Tamandua tetradactyla: one gene and its partner. The protein of the gene in region 1 interacts with the protein of each later gene in a biochemical or structural test. Links are inferred from orthologs where the notes say so. Each region holds a gene or a part of one and is shown on either strand. Other genes may lie near its edges.

What was found.
Region 2: the proteins of ITGA2B (region 1) and RNF181 form a complex in vitro, tested with the Homo sapiens proteins (2 studies listed by BioGRID). The link is inferred for Tamandua tetradactyla from reciprocal best matches to the Homo sapiens genes ITGA2B and RNF181.

Annotation. Positions count from the first base shown.
Region 1 is NC_135332.1:23,085,874-23,093,131, reverse strand, and holds the start of ITGA2B (integrin alpha-IIb), read right to left. Parts: upstream 3,052-7,258; 5' UTR 1,476-3,051; coding exon 1,288-1,475; intron 1-1,287. UniProt on the Homo sapiens protein: Integrin alpha-IIb/beta-3 is a receptor for fibronectin, fibrinogen, plasminogen, prothrombin, thrombospondin and vitronectin. It recognizes the sequence R-G-D in a wide array of ligands.
Region 2 is NC_135343.1:59,894,297-59,901,361, reverse strand, and holds RNF181 (E3 ubiquitin-protein ligase RNF181), read right to left. Parts: upstream 2,218-7,065; 5' UTR 2,155-2,217; coding exon 2,069-2,154; intron 1,609-2,068; coding exon 1,478-1,608; intron 1,296-1,477; coding exon 1,186-1,295; intron 1,019-1,185; coding exon 944-1,018; intron 697-943; coding exon 637-696; 3' UTR 560-636; downstream 1-559. Other genes in the region: VAMP5 (vesicle-associated membrane protein 5), read right to left, coding at 5,012-5,161, 5,619-5,756.

The DNA.
Region 1 (7,258 bases):
ATGCTGCTAGAACGTCTGTCTGGAGACTATTACACTGTCACCACATCTTTTCTTGAGAGCTGGTTTCAATGGTAAAGGAGAATGAGGGAAGCCAGAATGCCTCTTAGGTACAGATGGGAGGGGGGAGGGCTGATGGAGCTGAGGACCCTTAGCAGATCTAGGTCCAAATCACAACTCTTCATTTACTGTGAGACTTTGCTCAGTCATTTAACTTTTCAGTGAGTGTGACCTCACGTAAAATGGAGATAATACCAACCAATTAAAGCTATCAGGGGTAAATGAAATAAATTAGCATTGTGCTAGCCAAATACATAAAGGTTCTCAATAAAATGATATATATATTATAAAATTTTGTATCTAAATTTTATATACTATATATAGTATATATAAGAAATAGCATATATATAAAGCACATGGAATATTTACCAAGAAGTGGCCCTGGGATCAATGCCTGTGGAGGGGAAACAGGAGTGGGAGGAGGAGAGTTAAGCAGAGATGCAGACCTAATGACAGTTTTGTCCCCTGATTCCCCTCTCCTGGGGAGTTCTGGCAAACCCTACAGAAAAGTCCTGGGTTGAGGCTAGAATGCCAGATCCTTACACACTCCACCACCACACCCTGAATTCATCAGTCATTGGATGTGAGCCACCTTGGCAATGGGGACTTGACTTCGGGAGAATTAGCTCTCTTCAACAGAAAAAATTCCATCAAGAACATTTGCAGGCTATCTGCCATTGCCCCTCTCCAAAGATGGGCACCACCAGTTCCACCACAATAAGTTACTATTCACTGTAAAGCTATTAAGACAATGAGCCAGTTCCCTAATCTTCCCTGAAGATTCCCTGACTTCAGTCTATTTAATCCCAACCTTAAAACAATCCCAACCTTAAAATAACATTGCTTCTTTTCAGATATCTATAATTTTGAGGATTGGGGTGAGTAGATAATTTTACAGTTTTGCAAGTCAATTTAGGACATATGCTACTCTCTGTCTTTCCAAAGGGTGAGCATGGAGCAGGTCATACAACTTAACCTTGGGAAAAAACAGAAGGCAGGAACGTTCGTCTTTCCTTTGTTTTTGCTGGGGTTCAGTACCAACCTCCTCCCTGCCACCCTCACCTGAGTCAGTCCCTCCCTAGCATTCCTGTCTATAGCTCAGCCTGAACAGACTCCAATGTCATCTTGTTCAACCTCCATCATAAATGGGGAACTCGAAACCCACAGAAGCAGTGACAGAGTAGAGGGTTCCTTTTCTTTCCCAACACCCAGACTTCTCCCATGGCTCACCTCCCATGGCTGTCCTTGTAGAAGTCCAATGAAAACCCAAAGTGGCTGTCATTGGGGCCTGTATAAAGGGTGAACCGCAGTGGATCCAAGTTCAAGGCCGAGGCTGGAGGGGCAGCACCGGGTCCCAAGAGCAGCTGTGCCCACTCTAGGAGCCATAGGGCTTGCAGTGGATACAAAGCTCTGGCCATCTTCTCTCTCCCACAACCTTCTAGCAGAAATGGGCCAGCTCTTTCACTTCCTTTTGGTTTTCACCACAGAAGCTTTTCTTATCAAACTGAAACTCAGAATAACTTGCCAAGCAGTGGGCAGGGCAATGGGCTATAGGCCCTAGAGGCACTCATTTGGTCCCTAGGATTGCCAGGAAGTGGGGGTGACCTCACCCTGGGGGAGTATGCTTATGGCTGAGAGCTATGACTCCCCCTACCCGCCCCCCATTATCATTTATCACCAAGTCCTGTTGGATCTACCTCTTAACTGTCTTTTGAATCTTATCTTCTCTACCAGTCATCACTTTCTGCTTGGGATGGTGCAATCATGAATTAACTAGTGTGTACACCTCCATTGTAGCCCACAGTTCTTTACTACAGCTTTTGCATCCTACAATCCTGTCCCCACCTCACCCACTCTCCCCTAGCTGGCTGTACTGCTGTGCACATTGACTTGGCCAGAAGTTGGGGAAGGAATAAGGAAACTGCTGTCCCTGATACGGCCTAAGGATGCCATTTCTTTTTAGATATGGTACTTATCCACTTCCTCCTGCCAGGACCTTGGGCAGCCTCAGCCAGTTATATTGAGGCAGCAGCTTCCTCACTTCTCCACCTTGGGGCAAGTCTCAGTGTGGCCACAGCAGTGAAGCTAACACTGGGGAGGGGGTTGGTAAATGGATCTTGCATTTGGGCAAGGGAGAAAGTGGTCTTCCAGGGTATTCTGGTTCACAGACTCTGAGACTTTGTACCAGTTGTTCAGGTGGAAGCAGTGCCTTCTTTGGTGACAGAGCTTCTGTCCAACTATGAAGATTCTGGTGGGGTCACTGACTAGAGGAAGCCTCCCCTGACTCCTCAGGCTGGAGTCTGAGGCACAGTGCTGATCACTCCAGTTAGTTACAATCTGTTTGCTAGATTGGGTCCATGAGTCCTTGGAGAGCAAGTTTCCTTCTGAAGCCCCAGGGCTTAGTCAAGAACCCAACATGTAGTAGGTACAGCTGAAAGAACCATAAACAGACTGAACAGAAGCATGTACTTAGGCTGAAGATGCAAACATGGAATCACATATGGGAAGAAAAGGAAGAGTTCTGAGAAGAAAGGCAAGGTCATCTCTTATAGATGAGAGGAAGAGGACAGGAGTACCAATGAGAGGCAGAGGCCAGGAGTACCAAGGAGTAAAGGAACATAGCCACTTTTCGGAGTTCTGATTCATGTTTCTCTTCAGATCAAACTTAACCATTCTTTTATCCTCCCCAACTACTCTGTATTATTCTGGAATCCCTTAAGAACTTCCCTTTCCCTCACCACCTTAGCACATAACTCAAAATACCATCTTTCACTAGGGTAAAAGTTTGAGAGTGACAGCAACACAAGATGGCAGTTACCACGGACTCGGGAGAAAAAGTCCCTTGCAATTTCTGACTTCTGAAAGAACTCAAAGAAGGCCAAAAAGTAACAGGAGTGGCATAGTTAGCTGGGGTCTAGAAGATGATGAAGGCATGAATTTACAAGATTGACAGGGATGATAAATGGGCCTCCAAGAATAATTTATGAAAATTAAATACACAGTCTTAAAGCAGAATGTGGACATAAATACTCAGAAGCACTCCCATTTGTTAAAAAAATTAATATGGAGTTAATATGAATGGTAGACTCAAGAGCTCTCTCTATATATATCATTAGTTTTTCTGGAAGAGCTTTGGTGGCGAATGATGTCTAAAGAAAAAAATCAACTCTCTCAGCAGTTTTACTACAAAAAGAAAACAATAGGCCCTCTCCTGATCCCCATTTGATTTAAGCAGTCTTCATTTTCTAGAACTGTAAATTTTCTAGATATATTGCGTGGACCTCAAAGTACTGGAAAGGAAACTCCCATTCAGAGGCAATTTATCTTAAGATACTGTAAATGATACTATTGTTTTTCCATTTGAAAGATGTAAGTTATGCTATAACAAAAAAGAATCCTTGAGCTTTAGTCTGAGCATTCTTCAATGCTTGAATTCTTAGAGACAAGTTCATGGTAGGAATACAAGATATTTGTTCGAATAAATACTTAACCCAGCCCTCTAGTCTCTCTCCAACCTCCCATTGTCCTCAACTGAGTAATTACTGTAGTACTGATATACTTTGTATAGTCCAATGAACATGAATGCACAACTGCAGCAGAGGAACAGTAAAGCATGCCTTGAAAAGTTTAGATTGTGCCTAAAACCTCAATCATGCCTAGATGATGATATTTTTATTAATTAAAAAAAAATTAACACATTTAGAAATCATTCCATTCTACATATGCAATCAGTAATTCTTAATATCATCACATAGATGTATGATCATTTCTTAGTACATTTGCATCGATTTAGAAAAAGAAATAGCAAGACAACAGAAAAAGAAATAAAATGATAATATAGAGAAAAAATAAAAATAAAAAATACAAAAAATATATTAAAAAACAGAACAAAAAAAAACTATAGCTCAGATGCAGCTTCATTCAGTGTTTTAACATAATTACATTGCAATTAGGTAGTATTGTGCTGTCCATTTTTGAGTTTTTTTATCTAGTCCTGTTGCACAGTCTGTATCCCTTCAGCTCCAATTACCCATTATCTTACCCTATTTCTAACTCCTGATGGTCTCTGTTACCAATGACATATTCCAAGTTTATTCTCGAATGTCGGTTCACATCAGTGGGACCATACAGTATTTGTCCTTTAGTTTATGGCTAGTCTCACTCAGAATAATGTTCTTTAGGTCCATCCATGTTATTACATGCTTCATAAATTTACTGTCTTAAAGCTGCATAATCCATCGTATGTATATACCACAGTTTGTTTAGCCACTCGTCTGTTGATGGACACTTTGGCTGTTTCCATCTCTTTGCAATTGTAAATAATGCTCCTAGATGATGATATTTATATCATGTTTCTCATAACAACCCTATAAAGTAGGTACTATTATGCCACTTTACAGATGCAAAAAAGTGTAACGAAGAATTTTAGGTAAATTGCCCAAGTATACATAGCTAATGGGTAGCAAAATTAGAATTCAAACAGGTTTCTGCTTGAGTCCATGTTCTTAACCATTACACTATGCTGCTTTTTGTTAGAGAATGAAGGGGTTTCTAGGAACGGGGAATAACATAAGCAGAGTAACAGAACACAGAGGTCAATTATAGGGAAAAGCAAGTATTGACTCAGCATAGGGTGTTTTAAAGGGGTAGATTAGAACATGAGGAGGGAAAGGAAGACTGGGATCAAATCAGTGGAGGTCCTTGAATGCCACATTAAGGAATTTGCCCCTTAATCCTTAGGAGATGGTGAATCCTAAAGAATTTAACACAGGAAACAGAGACACACTGATCATTTAAGCTCTAATTTGGATGATTCACTGGCTGCCTGAGGACAGAAGGAACTGGAAAAGGAAAGGCTTAGTGGAAAGACCAAATAGGTAGTGACTACAAACTTCTGGGGTAAGGGTGATGATGCCTCTCGTAGAAGAAAACATAGGGAGGAATCTTCATAACCTTGGGTCTAGTAGTGATTTCTTAGATATGACACCAAAAGCATGAGCCATAACAACAAAATAGATAAAATGGATCATCAAAAAATATTTGAATGCCAAAAAGGACGCTATCAAAGAAATGAAAAGACAACCCATAGAATGGGAGAAAATAATTGCAAATCATATATCTGATAAGGGTTTGATATTCAGAATATATAAAGAACTGCTACAACTCAACAAAAAAAGACAACCCAATTTAAAAATGGCCAAAAATTGAATTGACATTTCTGTAAAGAAGATATACACATGACCAACAAATATATGAAGAGATGCTCAACATCTGGTCATTAGGAAATGCAAATCAAAACCACAGTGAAATACTGCTTCATATCCACTAGGATCGCTTTTATTAAAACAGAAAATAATAAGAGCTGATGAGAATGCAGAGAAATAGGTGGTAGCACTGCAGAGTGGTGTAGTCACTGTGGAAATCAGTTCAGTGGTTCCTCAGAAAATTGAAAACAGAATAACCATATGACCCAGCAACCCTATTTCTTGGTATATATCCCAAAGAATTGAAAATAGGGACTCACACAAATACTTGCACATCAATGTTCATGGCAGCATTATTCACAAAGCCAAAAGGTGGAAGCAATCCAAGCATCCATCAACAATGAACAGATAAGCAAAATGTGGTATAAATACTCACTGGAATATTATTCAGCTGTAAAAATAAATTTATGTATGCTACAACATGAATGAACCTTGAAGACATCAAGTTGAGTGAAATAAGTCAGACACAAAGAGAAATACTGTGGGATCTTGTTTATATGAAACATCTAGAAGAAACAAACGTCACAGTTATAGGTTACTAGGAGCAGGAAGAGAGTGTTATGGATTAACGGGTGAGGAGTTTGAACGATGAAAAGTAGGGGTGATGGATATGGGTGATGGTAGCACAATATTGTGAATATAGTAATACCGAGTTGTACATTTGAATATGGTTAAAATGGGAAAATTTGAGTTATATATGTTAACATAGTTTACAAAATCAAAAAAATAAAAAGGTGATGAGGCCTCAACCAGGGTACTAATGTCAGGAACAAAAGAGAGTGCAGAGATGACAGAAGCAGTTAACTGGATATGGTTTGGTGCCTGGCTGGCTGGTAGGACAGGAGTACCATTTAGAATTGGAAATAGGCAGATGAACAGATGTGGGGAGAGTTTGCTATTCAGTATGGATTCTGTTCCTCATGGGTGTTTCTTTGGTGTCAGACCTGGGTTGACCTTCCTTCTGAGATAGTAGGCAGAGGAATGCTGACACACTGCTTCCATTTTTTCACCCCATAAGCCTGAGTCCTAGAATCCCTCACTGAATTTAAAGTTCAATTAAGGCTTCATTTAGCCAACAATTATTGCGCTTCTATTATGTGCCTGGCACTGACCTATATGATGGGAAAAAAATAGAAATGTTGAATGTTCCCTTGATGAATCTTGATGTATAATCCTCAGTTTACATTTGATTATGTTCGTATCCTTTTTTTTATTAGAGAAGCAGTAGAATATCTTAAATATATAATCAAAATGTTAATATCTACTCAATTCTATGTAACACACACTAATAACTCTGAGAGTATTTGGCCTCTCAGAGCTTATAATTTTACTAGTAAACAGCAAATACAAAAAGAATTGCACTCAGATTCTGGAAAAGCAGCATGTTTACATGGGGCAGGGAATTCAATCCGAGGGTCAAGAAAACCAGCCAGGAAGATGTTACAATAATTCAGGCATGAGTTGGTAAGGGGCAGGTGAAGGTATCCCTTATAAATGAGAATGAAAATGGTTGACAAGGCCTGAGTTAGTCAAAGGGTGGAGAAGAGGGAGTACTCATATGTTTCAAGCCCAAGGGGCTGGGAAGAAGGTGTCAGAATACGGTAACTGCACAGACCTGTATATGGCATACTCTGTGAAGGCAAGTGTCACTTCTAGTTGACGCCTTGCTGCTCTCAGAAAAATCAATTTTCAACTTCTAATATCCTTTCCTTCTGGGAAGGGATCTTTGCCTTTTTAGGAAAATAGGTATATCCAAGCACCCAACTCAAGAGCCAAGTCAAAAAGCTCCTCTCTGGTGGACGGTAGAACACAAATTGTATGAGAGAATAAGAAAGAAATGGACATGGTATTCCTTTTTCAAGGGCTTGAGGATGAGAGGGGAATCTAATTTATCACTAAAAATCTATATTAGCTTTCCATGCTAAATTTTCCCTGCC
Region 2 (7,065 bases), on another chromosome or scaffold:
CCCAGCGAAGGACGTAAGGTTCTAAGGGCTCGTGGAGGGCAGAGATGTCAGGAACAAAGGACACCAGGGAACTAGAAGCCCCTTAGGTTTCTGAACAGTCTAAAAAGCTGACCTGGCTTCATAACCTCCCCACACTTCTTTCCATTCATAGTCTGGCTGGAACATGGACTCTTTATAGTAGAGGACAGGCAGAACTTTAAAATGCTAGAAGATGTTTTCTTACTGGAGCTCAAGAAACCCCCTGGTATTCCGAAGTTGACTAAAAATTACAGGAGTGGGCTTGTCTGTGTTTATCCGCTTTAAGTAATGACTTGGACTAGGTACCAGATCCTCACACATTTTTCCTTCCAACCATGAACACACGGGCCCAAGCCCTTGACATGGGCTTCTTGACCTGGGCTGTACTGCCCTGAATCCAGACAGGCCAACAGGGTCAGCAGAAAAGAAACTCCAATCTGATGCCTTCTGTAGCTCAGGACCACCTACCCCAAGAGCAAGAAGGACCAGATGGAGTATGCTGAAACCCCCACCCCGGCTTGTGAGCAACGCAGCTGCAGGGTGGGTAAAGAAACCTTTAATGAGGATTCACGATGCAAAAAGGAAGACGTACAGGGCTGGCATTCAGCCACAGTTAGCTCATGTGTACATGGCTCCATGGAGGTCCTCAAGTCGATGCTTCTGCTGCTGCTTGCGAGCCTGGGAGGAAGAGAGCACAGTGAGCAGGGGGCAACACCTGGGGGTCTGTGGGTGAAGGAATGGAGAAGCAGAAGGCCACTGGTACCTTCACTGTTGAAGCCCTTGTCCCCATCTAAGGTCACTGGGAAGACAGCAGAGCCAGAGACTCTGAGGGCCTTCACAGGCCTGCAGAGGTGGGAAGGAGAACAGCAGGGAGAGGAGCAGAGGAAACCCATTGCCACCTTCCATGCCCACCACCAGCCCCTACCTTATCTCGTCTGTGTTCCTCATAAGTGTCATCGTCAGTGGGCAGCTCATGGCGGCATAGAGGGCAGGAATTTGTCTGGGAAAAGCAGGGCACTGTTCTAGCCCCAGGTCTGGTCTTAATTAACCTCCATCCTTCCCCTCTTTCCAATTCCCACCCCTTCTTTGATTCCCCCAATAGTCCATAAACATAGGCTTGAGAACTGTGACCGGGCAGGGTGAGGGCTGGAGGAAGGGAAGTGGTACCTTGCTGAGCCAAGGCAGAATGCAGTTGGAATGGAAGAGGTGATGGCAAGGCATCTCAATGACAGTCTCCTCCTCCTCAAATTCCAAAAGACACACGGGGCACTTGAGCTCTTTGGGAGGGAGGCTGATCAGAAATGTTGCGGTGGGCCACACCTCCCAATCCCCATTCCTAAAGGTTACTCTTGCCCCAACCTGGCCAGGGAATCTGAAGGACCAGAGCACCGTCTGGCTCGGGGCGACAGGTGAGTCTAACACACTTGCCCGACACCGCGGAAAGAATTCGTGTTCTCACCAGCCTGAGAGCCCCTGATGACTGTCCTGGGGAGATTTTCTACCACAGTCTTGGCAGCAGGCGGAGGCAGGTGGTGGTCCCAATCTACTAATAACCCCAAGTCCTCAAAATCCATCCTGTTGAAAAGTGACCTGGAGAGGAGGATGTGAGACTGCAACCAGGGAAAATCATACTTCCTCCTTGCCCCTTAATCCCTGGACTTCAAAGGATAAATGTCCTGCCCAGCTACGAGCTGTAACAGCGAATCCTTGGTAGGGGCTCCCCAAGTAAAACGCAGGTGGGAAACGTTCACAGCTGCGATCGGGCCACAAGCCCAAAGACCACGCAGGAATAGCTGGGCCAAGCTGGTTCCAACAGCGCCGGCCTCGGTGGATGGGGTCCGCAATGACGCCGCCCACGCGCCCGCCTCAAAGCCCGCCTTCGTACCGCCCAGAGCTCGCTGCCCTCCCGGCCCCACGCCCCTCACCCTCCAGCTGCGCCCTGTCCCCGTCACCCTGCCCAGGCGGTGCCCCCGCACCACCAGGCCGCAGTCTGGACAGTCCCATCCAGGCCCTCCAGCCCCAGCCTAGAACCCCCCGGCATGGGCTCCACCTTGCGAGCTCCAGTAGCAAATTGGTTCGAGCCTCCCGCTCGGAGTCCGACGGCTCACAGTCGTGCTCATCGAAGTAGGACGCCATAGTCGCCGCCCCCAGCCACCCAGCTCTAGCACTCCGCGGGACCGCGGCCTCGCGGCGCCGGCCAATAAGCTAATGAGCTGACAGAAGGTGGCCAATCAGAGCAGGTGGAGGGCGGGAAAGGTGGCCTTCGATGCCCGGAAAGGCGGAAGTCCTGATCCGGCCGCGTCTCATTAGCTCTGACTAGTCAGGTGATCTAGGGCTGCGGCCAATGGCCGGGCCGGGGCCGTCGGAGTGGGCGGGGGCGCCTGGAGGAGCTGTGCCGCCCTTCTCCCGGCCCTGCAGGCCTCGGAGAATCCCTGCGTGTCCTCTGGGGAGGGGCGGGGGGTGGTTCCCATAGCTGAGGGTTCTTGGGCCAACCCTCCCGCCGCCCGGGAATCGGGGATGTCCTTGCCCTCGGGGCAGGTGTGACCTGCAGCCCAGGGCCCAGCCTCGCCCCCAGCACTTGAAAAACTAGACCAGGAAGAGCTGGCGACCCTGGCTGCATGGGAACCTCCGGGGTCAACAGAGGAAGGGAAACCCTGTCTGACGCCTGCCCTCAACGATTCGGATTTAACGATATTTTTCTAAGTTCCGCAGGTGATTCTGATGTGAGGCGGGCGTGAGAACCACTGCACTAAATTATTTGGATGATGCTACCATTTATTTGGCGTTAGAACGTTTACCTTGACGGGCATTTTACACGTAGCATCAATGAGTACCGTTACCTCCTTTTTAGGCATGTAAAACCCGCCTCTCAGAGGTGGCTTTCCGAAATGCACACAGCCTGTGACTGGCATTGCTGAGCATCTGCGGAGCCCAGTGCTGCCCTCCCTTTTCCTCGGGAAAGGAAGTAGGTGATGAGCCCAGCAAAAGCACAAGGCACCCCAAGATGTAAAACTCCACCAATTCGGAAGGATCCGTGCTTTTCTGTCAGAAGTCTTCAGTCTACTTCGCAAAAAAACAGCATAGATTTTCTCTTGACCCTGAGCTCCCTTTCCCACCCACAGTTAACCCGGAGCTACAGTTAAGTAGCCTAGGTTTCCACTACCTTCCAGGGAAGCTTCTTTCTTCTAGCCTGAGCCCAGTGATGCTTGCGGTCACAGTGAAGGCCGTGCCTGCCTGAACCCATTTGGCCCCTGGAGCTTTGAAAAGCCTGAGTTCTTTCCTCCCCTCCCCATGGCCATCCAGCCCGGTGCTGCAAGCTCTCCCTATTTTCACTGCCTATGGCTTCCTCTGTAATCTGGTGTCAAGCTTGAGGGAGAAGATGAGTGGAGAAACTGGGGGGAGCTGTCATCCACAAGGAGAAAAGCCTGTCTGAACATGAGGGCCTCGTGCTACTGTTACCAGACAGAGGCAGTGGGCTCTCTGCCTTATGCATACAATGACCGAATCATAAAACACGGGTTTGAAAGAGAGAAAGAGTTTATTACTAGGCACAAAGCAGGAGAGCAGACGGCCTGTCGGCCCAAATACCTGTCTTTCCAAACTGCAGTAATTCTTATAGTTCAATAGTATCTAAAGATGGGCAGGTTTTAGGATAATGAACACAGTGGCTCCAGATGATGTGATTAGAGGTGATCTAATTATTGAGCATGCACAGATTACATGCTTGGAATCAATGTACGTCAGAAAATAGTGGCCTTAAAATGATGCTGGGCATGATTTTTTTTTTTTTTTTAATGGGCAGGCACCGGGAATCGAACCTGGGTGCCCGGCATGGCAGGCAAGAACTCTGCGTGCTGAGCCACGGTGGCCCGCCCTGGGCATGATTTTTAATATTATAATGAGGTATAGGTGACTTATAGGTTAAAGTCTAAGCTACTGCACATGTCAGGTGGGCCCATCTTGAAGCTGAATCTAACCAGATAATCTAAATTATCTGTCTATCAAGATAATTTTGGAATTGGGGTGGGTTAGTTCTGGCTGACCCAAGGCCCTTCATTAATAAACATCAGGGGCTGTCTTCAGTGATCACAAGACTTCTAAGTCGAAAAATCGGATAAAATGGGTACAAGCGATGGGCAGTCACAAGGTTTTTACAATCAAAAAGGCAGAAGTTAAAGGCTATGCAATTATTATCAGAAATCAAGGCAGCTGGATTACAGTTTAAAGATTTCAGGTATTTCCCTCTGTCCACTCCAATGTACCAGGAGGCAAAAAGGAATATCTATATAATGATTCAGCAACCATAATCATTCTTTAAATCGTAACGTCTCAGTTGCACTGCTTTAGAAATGTTTTCCTCATTGTCATCCCATCTAGAGTCCCACTGGCCTTTCAGGATGCCTGAAAATATTATATAATAGATTCCATCTCAGGGAAACAGGGTCAGAGTAGGAAGACTGGTTCCAGGGTCTAGTTTGGGGGCTATTGTGTACTTGCACCCTCACTCTAGAAAGATCTGTCTGTGTAGTGTTGGATCAAGAAGGGAAAAAAGAAGATGCCTTCTCCCGGGGGCGGAGCCTCTGTGTGGTAGGCTTTCCAAGAAGCCCCAGGGGTTGGGACAGAATGAGGCTGGACCCAACATGTACAGGGACCATGAGACACACATACGCACACAGCAGATTTTAATCAAACAGCAGCTTTACTGCGCCCCAGGTGGAGCGGGCCTGGCCTGGCCAGTGCAGCAGGCTGCCTGCAAGGCCAGTCTCTGGCATGATGGGAGCTGCGGAGCTGCAGAGCTGCAGAGCTGCAGAGCTGCACACACACATCGGGGCTATACTTCAGAGCTCACCAGGGTGGCTTGGATGGGCACAAAGGCCAGGATCCTCTGGAGAACAGAACTGGCCATTGTGGCCATTTGGCTTGTGCTCCAGGCCCAGCTGGGTCAGTCCCCAGGCCCAAAGGCAGTGCCCGTGTCCTGCAGGACTCCGCTGCCCTACCCGTCCTTTGGGAGGAAGACGGCCAGCAGCACAATCAGGACAATGAGGACAAAGCCCACCAACAGCCCCAGGAAAATCCGGCAACGGATGTTCTCGCAACGCTTCTTCTGAGCCAGGGTGTTGGTTGTCTTGCTGAAAGCTGAGCTCTGTGGATGCCCCCAGATACAGGGCAGGAGTTAGTGGTGCCCCCAGAGCCTCTGAGCCTAGCGCCACCCACGCCCATGCCCCAAGCCAGGCCAAATCGCCTGCATCCTCCCACCGCGCCTGCTCCCTTCCTCCACACAGCCTGCCCTCGGACCCTCCCCACCAGACTCCAGGTCTGGACACTGGTTTCAGCCCCAGACGTGCCATGCTAACTGGGCGACCCCCCTCCCCCCAAGTTCACAATGCCAGTCCTCAACCTTTAGGAAGGACTTCAGACCAAGCCTCATAACCTGGACTTCTGACTTGATAAAGCCTACTCATTGCATCCCTGGGATGGGGGATGCTCAGGAAAGCAGAGGCCCCACCCCTGGCCCCTAATCCAGCCAGGACAGCGTGAGAGCACCCTCAGTGAGCTCTTCCAAACCCCCCTTCCCCTCCCCGCCTCCCCAGGCCTCACACCATGTCTAGGAGTTGGTGGGAACGCTGCTCCAGCTCCTCCAGTTTCCCGTCGCGCTCCAGGACCTTCTCATAGTTGTTGAGCATGATTTCCGTCACTTCATCTGCCTGCTGCTGGCACTGCTTCAGCTCTTTCCCTGCCTGTTTACCAAGTCCACCGTCAGGGCTGCGTGAGACCCCCGCTCGGCCCCCACTGTGTGCATGTGCAGCGCGAGGGGGGAAGCAGCCTCACTGGTGTAAATGTATGATGTATATGCAGTGAGGGGCGTCCTGGGTGAGTGTGGCTTTACTCTTCAAGGCAAGAGGGGGCAGGTCCTAGGACAGCATCTCGGCTTCTACTAAGTTGCCCCAGTGTGAGACCTTCCCAGGACCCCACCTCCAGCAAATCAGACCCTTTACCTGCTCCAGGATGTTCACTGCCCAATCCACAGCTCCCCTCTGACTTCCCACTGGCCTAATGAGGCAGCAGAGAGCAGAGTAGGGGCCAGAAAGGAGACCAGTCCCACAAGGTTAGAAGGTAATTTTGGACCAATGCACATCATAGTCTCTGCCTCTACCACCCCCACCCTACCTCCACCCCACACACCCCTTTGCTCCAACCTGAGACACTCAGGTCTCCATCCTCAGGCCTCTGACTGCTCAGGCCAGTTCTGCAATCCAGGCCTGACATTGCTCCCCACTTCAGCCTCTGCCTGGGAACCTTGGCCTTCCTGGCCTCTGGCCTCCAGCCTTCCAGCCAGCCAAGATTTCCACGAGGGTCAGGCTCACAGAGGTGAGACCAGCCCATGGGTTTCCCCACCGGCATGGCAGCCTCACCCAACAAGAGAAGCCAGTTCCTTTCAGAGGACTGGAGGAGAGACAGAGAGGACAGGGGAGAAACAGAAAGGATGGGTCACGAACTTTGGGTGTGTGATGAAGAAACCAGGGCAAAGAGGCACAAGGAAGAGCTAGAGGTCAGGAGCAGGTCCAGGAAAATTTCAGGGAGGTGAGTGCCAGTGGGTTAACAAACCTCAGCAGCTCCCTGCTCTCAGCCTGGGTGTGCTGGGCCCCCACAGCCCATCCCTGTTCCCACCTCCTCCCCAAGTTCCCTTTCCTGCCAGCCCACATCGCTTATTGTCTGCAGCAGACATTTTGGCACTTGAGTGAATTCCACTGCAAACCAGAGAACTTAAGTGTTAACAGGGATCTGGTGGTTGCAAAGAACCACCTCCCCCCTGGGCAGGAATCCTCCTTCCAGATGCTTGCTGCTGCCCTGCACACAGCCTCCAAGCATTCCCCACATATGAGTCTTATTTCCCCTGCTAGATCACAAACTCCCACAGAAAGGGAAGGGCCCAGTGCCCTAATTCCATCCTTTACCATCCCAGAGTCCTGGGGACCAGCCCAGAGCCGAACGCTACAAGGGCTCAGAGAGTGGGTCAAATGCATTGTAACTTATCCAAAGGCAACT